2 linked regions of the Arabidopsis thaliana genome follow. The protein of the gene in region 1 interacts with the protein of each later gene in a biochemical or structural test. Each region holds a gene or a part of one and is shown in the gene's direction. Other genes may lie near its edges. The genes, in order: CPSRP54 and ALB3.

Evidence for each region.
Region 2: the proteins of CPSRP54 (region 1) and ALB3 form a complex in vitro, tested with the Arabidopsis thaliana proteins (one study listed by BioGRID).

Annotation. Positions count from the first base shown.
Region 1 is NC_003076.8:1,058,871-1,066,554, reverse strand, and holds CPSRP54 (chloroplast signal recognition particle 54 kDa subunit), read left to right. Parts: upstream 1-3,129; 5' UTR 3,130-3,297; coding exon 3,298-3,447; intron 3,448-3,546; coding exon 3,547-3,682; intron 3,683-3,864; coding exon 3,865-3,932; intron 3,933-4,004; coding exon 4,005-4,106; intron 4,107-4,234; coding exon 4,235-4,387; intron 4,388-4,468; coding exon 4,469-4,546; intron 4,547-4,632; coding exon 4,633-4,758; intron 4,759-4,835; coding exon 4,836-4,938; intron 4,939-5,056; coding exon 5,057-5,157; intron 5,158-5,249; coding exon 5,250-5,387; intron 5,388-5,479; coding exon 5,480-5,699; intron 5,700-5,797; coding exon 5,798-5,883; intron 5,884-5,974; coding exon 5,975-6,100; intron 6,101-6,182; coding exon 6,183-6,290; 3' UTR 6,291-6,449; downstream 6,450-7,684. Other genes in the region: AT5G03944 (uncharacterized protein), read left to right, coding at 1,747-1,944; AT5G03930 (F-box protein), read right to left, coding at 6,512-7,048.
Region 2 is NC_003071.7:12,354,590-12,362,205, reverse strand, and holds ALB3 (63 kDa inner membrane family protein), read left to right. Parts: upstream 1-2,637; 5' UTR 2,638-3,047; coding exon 3,048-3,422; intron 3,423-3,510; coding exon 3,511-3,621; intron 3,622-3,731; coding exon 3,732-3,806; intron 3,807-3,883; coding exon 3,884-3,944; intron 3,945-4,028; coding exon 4,029-4,102; intron 4,103-4,203; coding exon 4,204-4,308; intron 4,309-4,449; coding exon 4,450-4,557; intron 4,558-4,649; coding exon 4,650-4,753; coding exon of another isoform or gene 4,754-4,787; exon of another isoform or gene 4,788-5,061; coding exon 5,062-5,211; intron 5,212-5,311; coding exon 5,312-5,537; 3' UTR 5,538-5,885; downstream 5,886-7,616. Other genes in the region: AT2G28790 (Pathogenesis-related thaumatin superfamily protein), read left to right, coding at 6,718-7,542. UniProt on the Arabidopsis thaliana protein: Required for the insertion of some light harvesting chlorophyll-binding proteins (LHCP) into the chloroplast thylakoid membrane.

The DNA of each region.
Region 1 (7,684 bases):
TATTTTCATCAACATTTGAAACACTATCACATACACGGTAACTTTCAGCATCATCACCATGAGTCCTAGAGACATTATTCTCGAGTGTCTTGACGGTTGTAATGAAAGAGACAAACAAGTTGAGAGAAGGATACCGACCACGAATTAAAAAGAACGTATCCAACCCCACTTGACTGTCAATGTAGACAGGAGGGCGTTTAGTATCTATCATCACTAACATCTCTCCCGGCATCCAGTAACTAATTATGGGATTGATCTCTATGGATTTCAAACTGAAAGCCTCGCTTAGTGTACGTACAAATTCCGTGTACGTCCTGTTTTCCTTAACACGTACACAACGACCAAACATGTTTTCCTTTGGTTCAAATTTCCATTTATCTTATTTGCATCTCCACTCACCGACCATAGTAAATACGGGAATATCCATTACCCAACTGCATCATAAATTCAGGAGAAACCCATTAAATGCAACTGAAAACATGATTATATCTACAAAAATAAATAGAATTTCGATGTACACACTTAGAAACATAAATATTTACACATTTAGCATTTTCAACCAACAAAATTGGAAATAAAAAAATTCTGGGTTTTTCTATAAAAAAACAAAGTCGATTTCGAATAAAATGAAGATCATAGCGTGTTATAACAAAAAAAATCTTTAAAACTTCATTACTTACACGATAATGCTTATCTTGGCTCCAAACTTCGTAAATAGACAAGATCAACACTTCTTGAGCATCAATGTACGTTCGCAATTAATGTTTGTTCCTGGATTCATCTTTAACTCAACAATTATTATCAATAATTTTATAATATAATAACATGTAATGATGATTTTGCATTAATTATAACAAGAGTCACGTCTAAACTTTTTGGGCCATTAAATGTTGATGTCATTTCGTTTATAATGAAAAAATCTCTCTTCTAACTGTACAGCGCGCTCCTCAACGTGAAACAAAAATATCTCTAACTAAACCGGAACAGTGTACCTAACTAAACCTGACTAACTAAACCGTACATTCAACAATTTCTCATCTGTAGCAGCAAGGGCAAAATGGTCAAATTTCAGCTGAAAAGACAAAACGTGAAAACCACCTTTCACTTTGGCAATTCCTGAAAATAAAACATGATCAAAGGGTGTGGCTTGCAAATTACCCTTAGATAAATGAGAAGCGTATATAAAGAAATTAGTAGGAGCGTATCAACTTAAAAAAGGAAAGTTTGTTACCCGAACCATGTATAGCTGTTAGATTATCACCTAACCGTGTATAACGGCTAGATTATCACCGAACCTAAGGTTGGTGTTTTGCTCTGGGCTTTAAACAAACCCTAAGTGAAAAGGAAAAAGGAAACTTGAGTCTCAAACAAATAAGTTTATAAATACCTGCGTCTCGCGTCTTCTATCTCCACGAGTTAAAAGATGCAATTTCTCTGATTAGCTTTATTATCAATTCTCTTCTTCGATATCTGTCTGCTTCAAGATGATGATGCTCTGATTCTTTCTTCGCCCTTCGTTTAGAAAGAATCATTCCACAAGTCAAAGCCCAAGAAAGACTCATACATATACAACGGATCTCTGTTCACTTGTTATAGCTACGAAGAAGACGAGAGAGAGAGATCATCACACACGCAAGCATCACGTCTCGTATAAACGACGGAGGATATTCACTTCGCCGTCAATTTGGGACCACATCTCACCGTAGAAAGAGAGAGCGAGACGATTCGAAGGAGTTAAAGGCTTACATGTCGCCGGGATTTAAGGCTTTTGGATTCATGATGTTGGAGGTTTTCTCCGCGATGGAGATTGAGCAGGTGGAGGGATCGTCGGAGATTGGGGGATTCGTTTTTCCGGTAACGGTTACTGATGATCGCATGTGCTCTCAGATGGTCGATGTGTTCTCGGAGGCCCAACACAAACAATTTCAGCCCATCAAACAATGAGCCCCATTGTCAGGTTATTTCGCAACTCATTTTCTTGTTTAATTTAGAAATTAATATATTTTTAATTAAAGGGTTTTTCCTCAGTGATGTCGAAAAAAAGGGTTTTTTCTCATTAATTTTTAAAAAATCTTTTGCAATTTTTATTCAAGTTTTTGTTTAAACTTTAAGTTTTTTTTTTATTTTTGAAGTAATATTTTAGATCAAGTGTTTTATTTTTAAAATATACATAATATTTTTGTTTTAAATGTTAAATTTTAGTATGTGTAAACTAATTGGACACAACATCCCGTCCATAATATGAGATCCTTAAGCGGTGTTCTAGGTTTAATATGTTTACATATATATAAATGTTTAACAATTTTTTATTTTAAAAAAATTTTAAATTTGTATTTTTTCTACCACTATTTAAACTTTAATATTTTTTTTATTTCTAATTAATATTTTAGATAAAATAATTTTTATATATACATAGTATGTTTTTTGTTTTTAAGTGTTAAATTTTAAATATGTGTAAACTAAATGAATACAACATCCCGTCCATAATATAAGGTCCTTAAGCGGTGTTCTAGGTTCAATATGTTATACACATCTTTAAATTTTAACATTTTTTATATTTTAAAATATATTAAGTTGTATTTTTCATATCACTATTTAAAATTTAAGGTTTTTGTTTTTGTTTTTGTTTTTGTTTTTATACAAAATATTTTTGTTTTAAATGTTAAATTTTAATTATGTGTAAACTAATTGGACACAATATCTTGTCCATAATATGAGGTCCTTAAGCGGTGTTCTAAATTCAATATGTTTATACATATAATTTTTTTACATTTTAAAAAAAATAAATTAAAATTTGCAATTTTTTACCACTATTAAAAGTTTTTTAATTTTTGAAAAATATATATAATAGTAAAAATACTTAAAAATATCTAAAAATAACCGAAACACCAGAAAATATCTAAAACAATGGATACTAAATTTTAAAACTGAAAGAAGTGGAACCAAACTGAACTAAATTTTAAAATATTCAAATAAACTTTATAATCGAAAGAACCGAAATCGAGTGGAACCGAACCGATAACCGATTGGGTAATCGCGGAGGATTACTTTCAAGAAGAGATTCGTGATCTTAGCCGTACACTTGTCGGGATCTGAGCCGCGCCTGTAAGGAGAAAGAGAGAGATGGTTCTAGTTTTAAAATGCAGCGTTTTGTGGAAAGCTCACCATCGACGGTCTGTTACTGGGCCACGTCATCGAAACGGATAAAATGGAACCATCCAAAAGGAAGATAGAAGTACCAAGAAGATTGCGGAGAGTCGTGAAAAGTTTTGAGCTTTGATCACTCACTCACTAGTAATGGAGGCTCTTCAATTTTCCAGCGTGAATAGAGTTCCTTGTACTCTGAGCTGTACCGGAAATAGGAGAATTAAGGCTGCCTTCAGCTCTGCGTTCACCGGTGGCACCATCAATTCAGCTTCTCTGTCCTCCTCTAGGAATCTCTCCACGGTTTGGCTTCAAAGTTTGCTTCTTTTCGTTTTTTAGTTTGGTGGTTTTGTAAGATTTTCTGGTTATTTAGTCTTGTTTGTGATGTTCTGTGTTGAGTAGCGAGAGATATGGAGTTGGGTGAAATCGAAGACTGTTGTTGGCCATGGAAGATACAGAAGAAGCCAAGTGAGAGCCGAGATGTTTGGTCAGTTGACTGGTGGCCTCGAGGCTGCTTGGAGCAAACTCAAAGGCGAAGGTTCGGTTTTTTTCTTTCTTATTTCGTTGCCCGTGAGCTCAAATTAGGAGGAATGAATAGAGACTAAGTTTTATTGATGTATTCAATGAAGAAAACTTTGTAGTTAAGAGTAGTGTTTGCTATTAGAAGATGCAGAAAAGATGAGCACGGGTTTAAGCTAGTTACGTTATTTGAACTTGCAGAGGTCTTGACTAAGGACAATATTGCTGAGCCAATGCGGGATATCAGAAGAGCTCTCCTGGAAGCAGATGTGAGTGGTGTTTTATTCTGTTTCATTTAGGTTCTTGTGAAGAATGTGGTATAAAAGTAATTTTGTTAACAGGTGAGTCTCCCAGTTGTTAGAAGGTTTGTTCAGTCTGTTAGTGACCAAGCCGTTGGAATGGGTGTCATTCGTGGAGTCAAACCAGATCAGCAATTGGTCAAGGTAATTAGCAATAAAACCGGTTCTTGTTTTTGTTTCATTAGCATAATGGTTTGATATTTGATTCACTCTATGATGATCATTTTGGTATCAATAGTACTCAAGTGTGGCTTATCATGGCTTTATTGCAGATTGTACATGATGAGCTAGTGAAATTGATGGGTGGAGAAGTATCTGAGTTACAGTTTGCTAAATCAGGTCCTACAGTAATATTGTTGGCTGGGCTCCAAGGAGTTGGAAAGACAACGGTTTGTGCTAAACTAGCTTGTTACCTAAAGAAGCAGGTATGAATACAGTGGAGATTTTGATGGGATTGTTTGTTACTACTTTCTGTCAATGACACTGACTAATAATGATGTTTACAGGGAAAATCTTGCATGCTTATTGCTGGAGATGTATACCGACCTGCTGCTATCGATCAACTTGTCATTTTAGGTGAACAGGTATTGAAATGGCTTAACCTCTGTGTGAATATGTGATGATATTTGATTCCGGAAATCAATATTCCCTGATGCCCTCTTTGTGTCAGGTTGGTGTGCCGGTTTATACAGCAGGGACTGATGTAAAACCTGCAGATATAGCTAAGCAAGGTCTAAAAGAAGCTAAAAAGAACAATGTTGATGTAGTTATTATGGATACTGCAGGGAGGCTTCAGGTAATGTTTCGTCTTTAAGAGTCATTGTATCATAAATCTATTGCAGCTTCAGTCATGAAATTGCCTCTTTGTGACAGATAGATAAAGGCATGATGGACGAATTAAAAGACGTGAAGAAATTTCTGAATCCAACAGAAGTGTTACTAGTTGTTGATGCCATGACTGGACAAGAAGCTGCAGGTACGCTGTTTCTATTTTACCTTTGTCAAGAAGATTCGAGACATCCTGAAAATGGATTAGATTCAAAACCGTAGCTGTATCGGTCATATACTAAGATGAGCTTCTGTACTTCCTACAGCACTGGTGACGACATTCAATGTAGAGATAGGAATTACAGGAGCCATTTTGACAAAGCTAGATGGTGATTCAAGAGGTGGTGCTGCTTTGAGTGTCAAGGAGGTTTGTTTTCTTCTTCTTTAATCAATTATTTTATAGAAATTTACTTAATGTTGCTCAACATTGATAGTTTACACTTAAATGGGTGTTACTAGGTATCAGGAAAACCGATTAAACTGGTAGGACGTGGAGAGCGAATGGAGGATCTTGAACCCTTTTATCCAGATCGAATGGCTGGACGAATTCTAGGAATGGGAGATGTGCTTTCATTTGTAGAGAAGGCAACAGAAGTTGTAAGTTCTTTCTCAGTAAAATTACAATCAAAACTATGTTTTCCTCTCCCTCTCTCTCTATCCATTGAGGCCTTCTTCATCTGTCTTTATAGATGCGTCAAGAAGATGCAGAAGATCTGCAGAAGAAGATAATGAGTGCAAAGTTCGACTTCAACGATTTTCTAAAGCAGACTCGTGCTGTAGCGAAAATGGGTTCGATGACACGAGTTCTTGGAATGATTCCCGGAATGGGGAAAGTGAGTCCAGCACAAATCCGAGAAGCGGAAAAGAATCTTTTAGTCATGGAAGCAATGATTGAAGTGATGACACCCGGTTTGTCTCTGTTCCTTTCTTCCATTCCATTAAATAAACAAGCATTTCATAAACTAGATTTTGGTTGTCTAATTCTTGGTTTAAATCTGTTGGAACAGAGGAAAGAGAGAGACCAGAGTTACTAGCAGAATCTCCAGAGAGAAGAAAAAGAATCGCTAAAGATTCAGGAAAGACAGAACAACAGGTACTCTCGCTCAGATTGTGAGCTTAGTTTTGTGCAGATCTCAGACAAGAAGAAGGAGATTCTCAATACCATTTTGTTGTTGTTGGTTCAGGTGAGCGCACTTGTAGCACAAATCTTCCAAATGAGAGTGAAAATGAAGAACTTGATGGGAGTGATGGAAGGAGGATCAATTCCAGCATTAAGCGGTCTCGAGGACGCATTGAAAGCAGAACAAAAGGTTTCTTCCATTTCTTCTTCTTCTTCTTCTTCATCTTTAACATGTACCAGAGTTTAATGGGGTCTTGTAAATGTATCTTAAGGCTCCACCTGGAACTGCAAGGAGGAAGAGAAAGGCAGACTCAAGGAAGAAATTTGTAGAGTCAGCATCAAGCAAGCCTGGTCCTCGTGGCTTCGGCTCTGGTAACTAAAACTATTTCAGCCCAATTTGGTTAATTTCTAAACGGATTATTTTTTTGTATAAGTTAATGAATGAGACAGAAACCTTACAAGTTAATTACCAATTTGTTGACAAAACTCATGATTATCTAGGTAGAAATATATTCTTATTTAAATATCATATAATCGACCAAACAAAATGCATACAAATTGTACTTTTAAATATTTCATAGGCTTTGCATAACTAAAATACTTAGATTTTAGATGGGAAAAAACATTGAAGATAACCAAGAGTATCGTCTTGGGAAAAATATCTCCCCTCGCCTCGGTGGAATATCTGGAGGTCGATCTTGTCCAATAACTCGCTGTTGAAACTCAGCTGGATTTCGGCTGTTAGACCACGATGAGCTAGTGGAGCAAGAAGATCGTTGTTCAGCCATCCAAAGTTTGTGCCTAATGGCCTTTCAGCATTAACGATTCTAACTACCGCCTCGTCTTCCGAGTCTTCCTTATAAATGACCTCGCACTCGATCTTTACACCAGCCATTCTAGACTTGGAGATTCCCATATGGCTCAAGTTTTCGACTTGTATATGGAATCGATCATTGGAGCCACACTCTAGCTCCGCGCCACATTTCTTAAGTGGTATCTCCTCACAACTTATGGTAGAAGATGATAGCTTTTCTCGGGTAGTTACGTAAATGACAAAGGTGAGATCCGACAAGGAAATTTTGGGTTTGGTAAGTTTCACTTCCTTAGCTCCGGAATGTTCTCCTTCTTTGGCCATCATCACCTGTGACTTCTCTTTTCTTTGTTTTGGAATGAGTTTTATGTTATTCACCATCCATATTTTTAGTGTTACAAATCTTCTTTATATCTCACCACAATGACTCTCAATTATTTTTATGTTTTTTTGCATTAATTCTCATTAATTGTTAATTGATTAATTAGGAGTAATTTTTATAACAAAATATTGAATTCCTATAATCTCCTTTTCACATGCATATATTATTAACTTCCAAATTTATTGCTCATGGTTTAAACATTATGTGTTAACATATTTTTATACTACATTATTATTGTATGTATTTAATATCATAGGTTTAAATATAAATTTAATTAATAATATGCAATTATGCATGGCACGGGGAACCACTAAGACTATTGTCATGATATTAATATGCTGTTAAAGGGCTTTAACGGGCTTCGGGGTTTAAAAGGCCTCAGATCTTAGCAACCGCTTAAATTCTCGGTTTAGTTTCGGTTAAGACGAATTATCATCAAATTAGAATTAGAAGTTGATATTCCTTTTGGTTCGATTCAATTTGTTTTGGAGAGAAATGTCATTTCTCCTCCGCTTAACACCGCCGCCGTTATCTCACCGCCGGAGCTCATCTCTCTTTCTCAAACATCCATTTCAACAATC
Region 2 (7,616 bases), on another chromosome or scaffold:
GTGAACCAAATTCACAATAAAACAACCATTGATTGTCTACTATTAACTATTCAATGAAATATAAATGTTCTACGTCATCATTAAAAAACTATGATACTAATCTCGTTTCCTATTGATATTAATATTTCAATATATAAGAACAATAACTCTAACAAGAATAATGACTGAATCTTAGTATGAAAATAACTTTACTCGGTATCAAACGACGTAAAGAAAGGGAAAAAAAAGCATGAAAAAGATGAAACCTGTCATTTACAACTTCTATTTTATGTCTACTTTTATTTTTATTTTCAAAAGAAGAACAAAGAAGAGATCTTTCAAATTGTCTCTACATTTTATCTTCTCTTTTACTTTTCCCTAACGATTTTGTTGTATGTAGTATATATCTTTAATAATCAGTCGTTTCGTATATAAATGCGAACATCTTTTTCAGAAAGAGATTGCCTAAAATGGCGTATATGTTGTATTATTACCCTAAAAACAAATAATCTTTAACGTTAGTTGATCATGCATGAAATCATCAGCAAACCTTTTCATAATCCCACTCATCTCTTTTGTGCTCTTGTCCTTCTCCATTTTGTTGTTATCTTCTCTCTTTTTTTCTTCATTTTGACCATATATCATTTCTCAATAATTTTTCGAATTTATCATGAAAAACGTAGAACTTCTACATGTCAAAAGCTTAGATACACTGAAACCATGTATTTTAGTGGTTTATGCTACAATCGTGTCTATGTGTTACTATTATTAATAAAATTTATATAATGCATATTGTTAAACAAAAAGTTGACGAAATTATGACAGAAAAAAATGACGAAACAATTTCTTTTAACTCTTTATCCACAAATATCTGATTTTTTTTTTTTTTTTTTTTTTTTTTTTTTTTTTTTTTACTAGGGAAGCAATGAATTGCTCTTTTTTTCTCTCCTGGTGTCAATGCTTCAATTATGAACGTTAACTAATTTATTGCTTTATGAGCTTCTTTCTCGTCCAAACATTCTTAAAAACAATAGTGAAAGTCTCGATTACGAATTCAATATGACTACGTTCAATTTCATATATCGCTTTCCATTCTAATTTTTTAAGATTTGGCATAGGTGTACTAATCATTTGCTTCATCTGCCGAACAAATTTTCATAATTACTTTTTTAAAGAACGCATATGCGGTTATAATTTGTACCACTCTTAACTTTGCATATGAATTTACTTAATTACTTATGCACCCATTAATCAATGGAAGCCCGAGGTAATATGCAACCTGATTAAAAAATATTACGTTATTATTCTGATGGTCCGTACATACAAATATTACTTTTTATAATTTTCCTATGTATCCTTTGTATATGAATTGAAAAGCATTTTAGAGAAATAATTTCTATTTAGTAACAAATTAATGAGTTATTACCCATAAATTATTCTTACGTCTCCATCAAAAAGTGAGTTTAGCCTTGAAAGTTCTGTGTCGACGTCGTTATGTTATAAAACAATAAATACGAACTCTTAATCGTTCGTTGTCATATAAAATTAAGAAAAAAATACAACATCATCATTTTTTTTATTTTTTTTGTCAAACTTACAACATCATCATTTCTATCAAAAATTTATGTTAAAAAACAAATTATGAAATAAATAATTATTTCACAACGAAAAATAATAATAACAAATATAATTATTTTCAAAACAACTTTAAATTTAATTTCTATATATAGTATTTGGTATAGGTCTATATATGATCGTGACGTGTGAAATATAATTGAGGAACGGTGGATGATTCTTGAAAACAATGTGGAAGATATTTAATTCAGTATGATGCTTAAAAAAACTCATAACGTTAGCTATGTTTTGTTGAATATTACATCACATAAACGTATGGGTGTGCACTTAGAGCGAGCCGGTGATTATAGGTTTGTTTTTTTTGGTAAAAAATTATTGAGAGATTATTGATTATAGGTTTTGAAGCTATCGATCTGAGCTAGAGATTAAGGAACGAATCCCTCTATGAACATTTAAACCTTGTTCTTTTTGCTTATTAACTGAGAGATTAGGATCCTAAAATCTATACAACACTAGAGATCATTATCCAAAAGATTTTACTTAGTCCCATTTGCGGTCACATTTAATTCCCTAAAAGCATGAAAATTCTATCCCATTTGTTTTTTCCACTAGACTTGGGACTCAAAGCGTAATTTATAACTATCTTACGTTAGAGAGCATTATTTACGACCATTATTTAGGCTGAACTCATTATAGACATCGATCAAGCTCTAGTGTTAAATACATTTTCTTTGTGGGATTAATCTTTAAAGGCCTTGTAATCACTTACTATTTCGTAAGTTATGAAGATTTGGGAACCGGATTATGGCTTTGGGAAGTTAAGTCCTATGACTCAAGCTTACCTTTTTAGGGTTGTGTATAGGTTCTCGATAAATGTTTCAGATTAGTTCATTTGTTTTTTTGTTTATAAAAACTACATAATATAAAACGTGGAAAGAAAGTGATAATGACAAGAAATAAAAGTAAGAAAGGTGGTGGTGTGAGAATCAGATTCGATGTCAACTAATTGAAAGAGAGTACGCAGCTTTTTCTTCACAATTATATATATTTTGTGGAAAAGCTTACCATACATTCACAAAGCATTCGAGATTTGATTTTTATAGAAAAGTATTTACATAAAGTATTTTCTAAATCGGTTTCTATTTTGTATGCTTTCAGTTTTATTTTGTGTTGGGGAAGTGATCCATGCATTGAGCTTGGAGATTGATGGATTGGTAATTAAGCCTATTAAGTTAAGCAGGCCTGTTTCTAAAATGGGCCCTAATAAGCCCAAACTACAAAAAGCACCGATATATCCCACGTTAGATACATGTCCACGTGGACTCCTATGACTGGATGTAATCTCCACCACGCGCGATCACCAGCTTCGTCTCTCATTTTCATTTTCCAATTTATTTTCAAAAAAAGATAAATCCAGAAAAAAATTTACAAAATAAAAAAATAAAAATCTCTATCTTCTTCTTCGTCTCTTCTCATCCTCCTCTCAAGCTCCAATGGCGAGAGTTCTAGTCTCGTCTCCATCTTCATTCTTCGGTTCACCGTTGATTAAACCGTCGTCATCTCTCCGTCACAGTGGAGTAGGAGGAGGAGGAACCGCTCAATTTCTTCCATACCGGAGTAATAATAACAAACTCTTCACTACTTCAACCACCGTACGATTCAGCTTAAACGAGATTCCTCCTTTCCATGGCTTGGATTCATCTGTAGACATCGGAGCGATTTTCACCAGAGCTGAATCTCTTCTCTATACAATAGCTGACGCCGCCGTTGTTGGTGCTGATTCCGTCGTAACTACTGATTCATCCGCCGTGCAGAAGAGTGGTGGTTGGTTTGGTTTTATCTCCGATGCTATGGAATTGGTTCTTAAGGTGAGTTTTAAGCTGCTAATTTCGATCTCTGTGTGTAGAATTCTGGAAATTGTATTTGTAGCTTAAGTTTTTTGGTTTGGATTTTTAGATTTTGAAGGATGGATTATCAGCGGTTCATGTACCTTATGCTTATGGATTTGCGATTATCTTGCTTACGATTATCGTCAAAGCAGCGACGTATCCTTTGACTAAGCAACAGGTTAGTGAGTGTGATTAGTTGAATTTTGCAGCTCCTCTTGTCACTTTGATTCAATTTTGGCATGTTGGTTGAGAATTTTTGAGCATTGCTTTTGTTTTGGAATCCTTTAGGTTGAATCAACACTAGCGATGCAAAATCTTCAACCGAAAATCAAAGCGATTCAACAACGTTACGCAGGAAATCAGGTGAGTTTCTTTGGATAGAGAATGAGTTACTTGTGGATGACGAGTCTGATTTGTTTGTTCTGTTTTTGGATATATAGGAGAGGATACAACTAGAGACATCGCGATTGTATAAACAAGCTGGTGTTAATCCGTTGGCAGGTACTTTCTTTTAGAAGTTACGAGTTTTGTATTCCCTTCCTGAATTGTGGTGACATATGCACATTATTGTTTTTTTTATGTTAGGTTGCTTACCAACTTTAGCAACCATACCAGTTTGGATTGGTTTATACCAAGCTCTCTCTAACGTGGCCAACGAGGTACATATACCTTATGTCTCTTTCAACTACTGATTTCGCTAGAGACCGGATAAGTTTGTCTCTTTCAACTACTAATTGTTCTAAAAACTTTTTTTTTGTAGGGATTGTTTACAGAAGGTTTCTTTTGGATTCCATCTCTGGGTGGACCAACATCTATAGCTGCTCGGCAGAGTGGATCCGGCATTTCGTGGCTTTTTCCGTTTGTGGTAATGGAAGAAAAAAACTTTATGTGAATACGTTTTCTCATTTGATACTTATCTTTATACTAAAAAATTTCATACAACTGAGTCTTTTGCTGTGCAATGAACCTTTATCAAATTGGTGTCTAATATCGTTCGGTGGTGCAGGACGGGCATCCACCATTGGGATGGTATGACACTGTAGCTTATCTTGTTCTACCTGTTCTACTTATTGCCTCCCAGTATGTGTCAATGGAAATTATGAAGCCTCCTCAAGTGAGAAATAAACACAAGTTTCTTTTATTTTTCCTGTTACTTAAACAATTTGATATGATTGTTCTGAAACCGAATTTAATTTCTTTTGTCAGACTGATGATCCTGCACAGAAGAATACGCTTCTTGTTTTCAAGTTTCTTCCACTCATGATCGGTTACTTTGCATTGTCTGTCCCATCAGGACTATCTATTTACTGGTTGGTTTCCCTCTCCTTGAAACTTCTCATCTAACTGTTTTATCCATGCCCTTGATCTACTCATTAAATGGAGTATAAGAAAGATTTTCTCTAGTAATTAACCTAGATGGCTTCATTCTCAAAATGTACGTAAGACGGGTTAGAATTTCGAGGAATACGAAGCTTGTTTGATAAGGAATCATCTAGTGTGACTACATTTTGTAACATCAATATTATTGTATATGACTGTGTTTATTGGTAGGATCTGAGTTTTATTTTTTCCCTTTTTATTATGCTACTGCTTATGTTAAACCATCCTATGGTTTTAGGCTCACAAATAATGTACTTAGTACCGCCCAACAAGTATATCTGCGTAAACTAGGTGGTGCAAAGCCAAATATGGATGAAAACGCAAGCAAAATAATAAGTGCGGGACGAGCAAAGAGATCTATTGCTCAGCCTGACGATGCTGGCGAAAGGTAAGTGAATCCCGAGTCTAGTGGAGATTATATCTCTCAATACGAAGCGTTTTTCTTACAAGTTTGTTATTTCTGATAAATGTATATTGGATCACAACAGATTTAGACAATTAAAAGAGCAAGAGAAGCGCAGCAAGAAGAACAAGGCGGTTGCGAAAGATACAGTTGAATTGGTAGAAGAATCTCAGTCTGAATCAGAAGAAGGGTCTGATGATGAGGAAGAAGAGGCTCGTGAAGGAGCGTTAGCTTCGAGCACAACAAGCAAGCCGCTTCCTGAGGTTGGCCAACGAAGAAGCAAAAGATCGAAGCGGAAACGCACTGTATAGAACCAAAGCAAACGAAATTGCAAGTAAGGAAGAGAAAAGAGAGAGATTTGAATCTTGTTCCTTAGTTTGATCTTTTGATATATATTTGCATACACCATGTCCGGTAATTATCTAATATTAGGGCACAAAAAGGTCATTCTAAAGTTAAAAGCAGTAGTTGATCAAAGTAAATTGTTTATGTGATTCATCTTATTATAAATGTATTAACGTAAATGTGTGTACTATTATGACTTTTCAACATGCCCGCTTCAGTTTTGTTAGCATTTCGTTGTTGTAAACTTGCAATCTATTTGTTTGGTGCTTTTATTAGCTTTGTCAGCTTATAAAAATGGTAAATGTGAATCAAGTAGTATAGTAATTTGTGCAATAAACGAGACAACGATTCCCCATGAATAAACAACAATTACTTCCTGACAAAGAAGCATTGTTCTTTGGATTGGCATGGATAAAATAGAGAGAGGTAAAAATATTACGATTTGGATTGGGCTGAGGCCCAAGATATGGTTACACGATTTTCAAATTCTCGAAGTTGTACAAGTAGACAAAAGACATCTTGTTTTGTCGTGTTGTCGTTTGGTGTTTGTCGTTTTGATGTGTTTGTCAAAGAACCCTGTTACTAATCTGAACGAATATAACTTGTCAGTGTAGCCACATTACACTAATATTCAGAGAAAGTTGTCATGTTGTTACAATCATGAGTCACATAGCATGTAATAGAGTGTACATTTCAATAGGTTTAGAAGTTTAGAACACATAAATCAATCGGTCCATCTAAAATGTTTGCATTATGGTTTACTCATTGTAACTTGTAAACATTACATATGTGAATGCTTACTATCCTAGAAAAGCAAAACTGTTGGAAACAGCTAAAAATTAATATATCTGCCTAATATTTTCAGAATATGTTATTTTTCAACCATCCGAAATAGTGCTATTTACCAAAAACACACATTAGGATTAGTTTACCAATGAAGGAAACAAAGCTTCGTTAGTCACAAACCACATGCCATCATTTTATTCTTTAAAGAGCTTTCAAGCTTTTGACTCATAGAAATAGAATCCAATATTCATCTCTTTTAAACTGACATTAAAGCCCTTCGCCTCCTTAAACCCACATGCTAAATTCATTGCCTAACCACCCAAAACATCCAAAGGGTATTTTCGTCACTCCAAAAAATGTATGCATATCGAAAAATACTTTAGCTTATATACACACACGTCGCATTGGCACACCTTTCACACCAAAAGCTACACAATGGCTAAAACCTCTCTTCCTCTCGCCGCCTCCTTCCTCCTCCTCATCTCCTTCTCCTCCGCCGTAGACACTTCCCGTCTCTTCCTCACCGTCGTCAACAACTGTCCCTTCACTGTCTGGCCAGCCATTCAACCCAACGCCGGCCACCCCGTCCTAGAGAAAGGTGGCTTCGCTCTCCCAACTTTCACTCACCGCTCCTTCAACGTTCCAACCACACACTGGTCCGGTCGCATCTGGGCCAGAACCTGGTGTGCCCACTACAACGGAAAATTCTCCTGCCTCACCGGAGACTGCGGAAACCGCCTGGAATGCAACGGTCTCGGCGGGGCACCACCAGCTTCTCTAGCTCAGTTCGACCTCCACCACGGTGGTCACCACGACTTCTCCTCTTACGGTGTCTCTCTCGTTGACGGTTACAATGTTCCGATGACCGTGACTCCTCACGAAGGCCATGGTGTCTGTCCTGTCGTTGGTTGTCGTGAAGATCTAATAAAAACGTGTCCGGCTCATCTTCAGGTCCGGTCACACAGTGGACACGTGGTGGCTTGTAAGAGTGGGTGTGAGGCTTTCCATACAGACGAGCTGTGTTGTCGTGGTCATTACAATAGCCCTAACACGTGTAAAGCTTCGAGCCATTCGCTGTTCTTTAAGCATGCGTGTCCTTCGAGTTTCACTTTTGCTCATGATAGTCCTTCGCTTATGCATGACTGTGCTTCTCCTAGAGAGCTCAAAGTCATCTTCTGCCACTAATGTTTCGGCCATGTTCTAGGGTTATTGTCGTAACATCGGACTGATCTTCTAATGCTTTTGTTTGGTTAGTCTGA